2 linked regions of the Saccharomyces cerevisiae S288C genome follow. The gene in region 2 interacts genetically with the main gene of each other region. Each region holds a gene or a part of one and is shown on either strand. Other genes may lie near its edges.

Region 1 (3,607 bases), on a different chromosome or scaffold from region 2:
CAGACTATAATAAAATTGGTCTAAAGTCGTCAGCTATTGCAAGTTCATTTGGTAAAGTTTTCCAAAATAGAATGACATCTAACAAATCTTTGGAAAACAACGAAAATAAATTATATTCCTCACATGAGTCTATTGAGAAAAACAATGGACAAATGTTTAAGAATCCTGATATTTGTAAAAGTCTTCTATTCGCCATCTCCAACAATATTGGGCAAATAGCTTATTTGCAAGCTAAAATCAATAATATACAGAATATATACTTTGGCGGATCTTATACCAGAGGACATTTGACTACCATGAACACTTTGAGCTACGCTATTAATTTTTGGTCACAAGGATCAAAGCAAGCGTTTTTTCTCAAACATGAAGGCTATTTGGGTGCAATGGGTGCTTTCCTAAGCGCGTCTCGTCATTCATCTACTAAGAAAACAAGTACGTAGATAGATTTCACTTTTTTTTTGGCTAGTAATATTACATACATCTTTATCTAGATAATTAATTTATTCGTTTGTTAGCTCGCTTATAATGTCATCCATTACCTCAAAGATTTGCACCTTAGTATTATTTCTGTACTTATTGTTAAATTTACTGCTCGCTTCAATGTCTGTGACTATATTGCCACCCGCTTTTTGTAAAATAGTAATGTCTTTTATCATTGGCCTTTTTAAATCGCTTAAAGATATGGCAATTATATATTGCATATCCTTTATTTCAAATTGTACTTTTCCAAGCTGGGTAAAGATTTCAAAATTTAATATAGTCGTCTTTGACCCTTTGAGTAAAAAGTGCTTTTCCCAAAATTTTGTTAGCAAATTAATTGACTGACATAATTCTGATTCATTGGCCATTAAATGTCCAGAATCCTCTTTTTTTGATTGCTCTCCTTTTCGTATTATTTGATTTTTAACTTCATGCATTTCCTTGAGCTCTTTCGTTAACCTTTGATTTTGCTTCTGCAAAAATAGTAGTTTTTGCCAATTCGTGTATGTCTCTTCCACAAAATCATCTGAATCACTTGAATTTAATATCGTATCTTTTTCTCCCATCATATTCTTATCTTCTTTGTTTGTTAAATTTTTTAGTTCATTGAGCGAATCCCAACAATTTTCAATATCACCAGTGGCTTCCAGATACAACTCATTTATTAAATCTTGCCTTTCTGCAAAGTTGTGACCGGTCTCTTGGATTTCAGCTTTGATTTGTTCTATTTTGCTTTCTTGAACATTCGAAATTTCTTCCTTTAAATCATTAACTCTTTCATTAAGTTTTACAAATTGGGGGTCTTTTTCGGAATCTAACTGCAAAGGTTTCGTCGAGGACAAAGTAAACCTGAAGAAATAGTCCAATGTCTCCTGTTCCAAGTAAGTCAACTTAAGTAACTCCATTAGTTTATTGAACTCCTTGATTTTTGCACTCAGAATTTTTGGATTTACAAAGACCTCCTTTCCCTCTACGTCTAAGCTCTCATCGTTCCTAAGAGGATTCACAAACTTGTTCTCTTCATTTATTGCCAGAATGCTGGAAGTAATTTCGTGCAATGTATTTTTGAGCCTTAGTTCTTGGTTATTTAGCACTTCTTCGCTGCTCACAGCAATAGAATCCTCAATATCCGTTAACACGGTCTCATAGTCCTTTATGCTCGCACTCCCTGTATCCATTTCTTCACTAATTTTGTTTTAAAGCTAGTCTATATGTTTTTTTCTATTGGTTGAAGTTTTTTTGATGCTGCTCATTCTCCTTGTGTTTATAAATAATGAGTTACGCGATCTTCACTTTTTTTACATGTGCTTATATTTAACTGCCTAGTTCCCAAGCGATGGCATTAAAGACAGCCAAATGCTAATTTCTGGTTGAATAACCTAATACGTATGCCCTAAATTATTTTTCCTTTTTAATCTGGAAGATATTGTTTATCCGGATGATATAACGTTCAATTTAATTGATGGGCATTACTAAATATTTTCAATATGACCAATTCGTGTCGACATTCTGCCATAATTAACCTGAGAAAAAAACATTTTTCGTGATCATTTAGCAAGAAACCGCAAGGAACAGCTCACTAAGATGCAAATAACCATTAGATAACTGAAACACACCTACAATGTCCCACATGAATAAACCCTTTAGGAAGCATCGGCAGCTGACAGAAATACCAAAATGAAAAAAAAAAAATTTAGAAAGTTTTATGTATAGTTTTACATATTGCATAGATGATTTGCAGCGTAACGACGCTAATGCTTTCTTCTCCATTCTCATTGATATTAACGTTGGCTAGATAAATGCTGTGCAACGGAGTGGCTGAAAAATAAATTGTAGCACCTTGTTGGAGACCAAATGTAGTCTTCACTATTAACCTCTAGCTAAAGCAGATAAAAGATAAAGATTATAAACTTTGGTTATTGGAAGACCCATCTCAGACATGTGTTTCCCCAATATCCAAATATTTCAACGTATTAACAATGAGGTACATCCCTCGTACTCAATAACGCCTCCTAAAGTTCCTTACATCTATATAGTAGTACAAAGGAAATTCTAATTATCAACCTTTGGCTCAGTTTTTTAAAGCGTCGATGGATCTTACGGCAGTGGAGTGCGCAGAAGCAGGATTCACACCTGTTACCAGTCTTCCGTCAGTAATAGAGTAATCATCCCAGGGCCCAACCGGAGCTAAATACTTAGCGCCATATTTTTTAGCAACATCTTCAACGGTTGCCAAATTCTTGGCTTTCAAAATACTATCAACACCCAAAATGGTTTCACCAACATCAGTAAAACCGGTGATAGATTTACCTTCGATCAATGGTCTTCCTGTTTTTTTGTCTGTTAACCCATCAAAAATAGCAGGACCGTGACAAACAGCTGCGACAACACCACCGTTAGCATAAATTTCGGAAGCAATGTCCTGCAAGTCTTTAGCCTTAGGATAGTCAAATAAGGTACCGTGGCCTGCAGATGCAAAAAAAATTTGGTAATCATCGGCATTCACCTCTTTTGGTGTCTTAATTTTAGCCAATGTCTTGTTGAAATCTGAGTCTTTATTTTTAAAATCCGTTTCGTCTTGACCATTTAGAAAATCTTTGGCTAAGGAATGCTCATCCCAACCAAATTTTCCGGTTTCAGATACAAAATCGACTTCAAAACCTTCTTTTCGGAATGTGTTGAAGGGATGTAAGGCTTCTACAACAAAAACACCGGTCTTGGCGCCGTCACTGTAGAATACATCGTTATATGAGGTAAGAGCGAGTAAAACTTTTTTTGGGGCCATTATAAATTTGTTTGAGTTTTATCTGTGTAATTAGCCAGTGGGAAGTACTTAAAAATGCCGTTAATAAAATTTAGCGGATGATAAAGAAATGAATGGTTCTCCTTATGGCTGTTTATATATCTGATTTAAAGGGTAACGGAAACCGGAAGCAATAATGGAACCGTGAAGCCATCCCTTGAAAAAATTTTCCATTTCTTTCATGAAGACTATGTACATGCCCCTTATGCCAAGCTTTTTGATTTTCAGGCTAGGAATGAGTAACGTTAATTCTCTGTATACATTCGCCCAGATTTCTTTACGGGATTTATGGATCCGTCAGAACAAAAAGCCGCCTCCCATGGA
Region 2 (2,636 bases):
CTAGTTACACCGGTGCTGCTGATGCCATCACCGCTGGTACTGGTTTGATGGGTGCTGCCCTTGCTGCCGTCATGTTATTGTAAATGATATGTGAATAATCATGCGGGATATCCGATTTTTATGAAGCACCTTGCGGCTTGGCCTTTTTTCGAAGTTATGTTAGAATAAAAAAATTTTAATAACACACATTAAGTATGTATGTATATATACTGTTTCAAGTTCGTTGGTCTTCCTTTAATTGTTTGAAACGGTTAAAAGTATCTAATTAAAATAAATATACCCGAAATCATACTAAAAAAATAGTTAATATTAATAAAAGTAATGATAATAATAATAATAACAATAATAATAATACGATGATGATGATGAAACGAAAAACTGCTACATTGAAGTCACTGAGAAACGTAATGAAAAAAAGTCCTTTTTACTAGCCTTTTGAAGGAGAAAGACAATTATATTAGCTTTTCATAGATAAGTTATAAATATGCTATACACGATAACTAATAGCTTTTTTCTGGTTTGAAACCGAGCTTATAATAGGTAAGAAATCAAACCAAGGGCCAATGCACCGACACTTGCTCCTTGGAATGCAGCAGGAGCAGCACCAGAAGAAGAGGCAGAAGAGGAGGAGGAGGATGAGGAGGATGAGGAGGATGTAGATGATTCGACGGCTTGAGTGACGGTCTTGGTGTAAAGGTTGGTTGATGAACCTGAACCGTTTGTCAAAGTAAGTGTCTTTGTTGTACTCTTTTCAGAGGTGGTATCTGGTCCTTCGGTGACAACCTTTGTGTAAGTAGCATCACTATTACTGACAACGACAGTTCTAGTGGTACTGTAACTAATGATAGGGTCAGCGGTGTCGGTAACGACCTTAGTGTAAACGTTATTACCGTTAGTAGCAGTAATAGTCTTAGTGGTCATTACACTCGACACAGCTGCTGCCGAGACGGCAGTCATAACTGTAGTAGCTCCGAAAATAGTTGAGAATTTCATTATTATTGTTTTGTGATGGCTTTATGATAGACTTTTTTACAAGGACCGTAAAATTCTGCCTGAAGCACGCACACATTCCTGTTTTATACATATATTGCTAGGTAATATAAAATGCTAATTATACTGCACCCAGTTAGATTCGTATACATCTTATCCGAACTCGATTACAAATTATACAAGTGATCCAATTGGGTGAACCTCGAAACAGTTCTCTGTTCAAGGGTCCGCTGCGGGGCGAGGGGGGGTGCATTTGAACTTAGGGTGCATTGTTTTAAATCCTATACAGGATATGAACTTAGTTAGTTCAATGATCGCTTGATAAATTGCACCCTGCTCTTGAGGGTCATTCTAAGTAATGAAATTTTGGGTGTTTTTGTTTGCCGTCCTCGTTCAATTCGCTTCCGCCGTTCTGGAAGCCCCGTTAACTTCCGTTCCCGCATTCCGATCGCTGTAGGGCTTGGCGTCAGTAGCACCCAGATATTTCACTGTAGGAGCTTACTTCACTCATTTCAATTGGTATACAGAAATCTATGAAATGTAGTTAAAGGCATCACTAATCCGCATCCGCGATACCCGCAACATATACGGAATGTCTATGTAAAAATGTCTCCTGTGACTTTCATTAATCGAATCTTTCTATAAAAAAAAAAATGAGCAAATCACAGTACACCCACTACTCGCATCATCAACGTTGAGTCAGTAGCAAAGTCTCCAGTTATGGTGCCCTCTGGTCCAATTGTAGTAAATTCGTTTGCACGGATGAAAAATAGCTCATGAATGTTCTTGTGTATTTGAATACCATTATGTGCGCGGCTCATACGGATTTAAGTGTGATCTTCCCCTCCGTATTCCCTGTCAATAACTCAAAGTTTTCCCATTTCGGTTTGAAGTTCTTCACAAGGGAGTTTCTTGGCGCAAAGGCATGATGATCGCATTTGCCTCAGTATATTTCGTCATTTCGGTACTGAGAAACGAAATTATTTTGCCTGTTGTCTTGCGTTTTGGCAACCCTTAAGAATTCATCTAATATGTTGGTCCTTAAAGATAAGCGCTTTTGCTTGTAAAATTCTGATTTTTTGTCTTGTGATGGTAATGCTACATTGAACATCAATGCGTATCTGATTTTAAAAAAAAAATTAGAAGTGTGTATAAAATGAAGGTATTATCAGTTGAGCAAATATTACATGTGCTCTTCAAAAGTACCTGCTTTTCATTTAGTGACTATCAGGATGATAACGCCGCTCGTCTTATTTTTAACTGTCGTTTTCTGATAAATGTGTTGAAAACGTGCTAAACAACAATTACCTGTTCTCAAGAGCCTTGAGCCTGGATTGAGAGCAAAAAATCTCTCTTTCATTTTATACAGAATTCGGAAAGAAGATGGATATTTCATGAAAATCTGTTGGTAAAAAGTGGATAAAAATTTTGTATTATTAGTATGTTCTTAGTGGTTAGGTGATAACGAAGCGAGAAAAGCAGGGCAAATGGAATAGAATAGCGTGTAGTTGTTAAAATTTTATTTCACTGAGGCTTATATGCTTACTGAGAAATTTTTTTTTTTTACAAAAAACTTCTTTTTATGTTATACCAGCTGTGGATTACCACAACAATTGGAAAGAACATCAATCCAGAAAAAAAATTCA

What was found.
Region 1: mutations in FIT2 (region 2) and KRE28 together harm fitness more than expected from each alone (negative genetic interaction), as found in Saccharomyces cerevisiae (one large-scale study listed by BioGRID).

What each region holds. Positions count from the first base shown.
Region 1 is NC_001136.10:1,498,896-1,502,502, forward strand, and holds KRE28 (Kre28p), read right to left. Parts: upstream 1,659-3,607; coding exon 501-1,658; downstream 1-500. Other genes in the region: CAB1 (pantothenate kinase), read left to right, coding at 1-440; HSP31 (glutathione-independent methylglyoxalase), read right to left, coding at 2,552-3,265.
Region 2 is NC_001147.6:1,057,888-1,060,523, reverse strand, and holds FIT2 (Fit2p), read right to left. Parts: upstream 994-2,636; coding exon 532-993; downstream 1-531. Other genes in the region: FIT3 (Fit3p), read left to right, coding at 1-83; YOR381W-A (uncharacterized protein), read right to left, coding at 1,934-2,101. UniProt on the Saccharomyces cerevisiae protein: Involved in the uptake of non-siderophore and siderophore sources of iron. Has a role in the retention of iron in the cell wall and periplasmic space.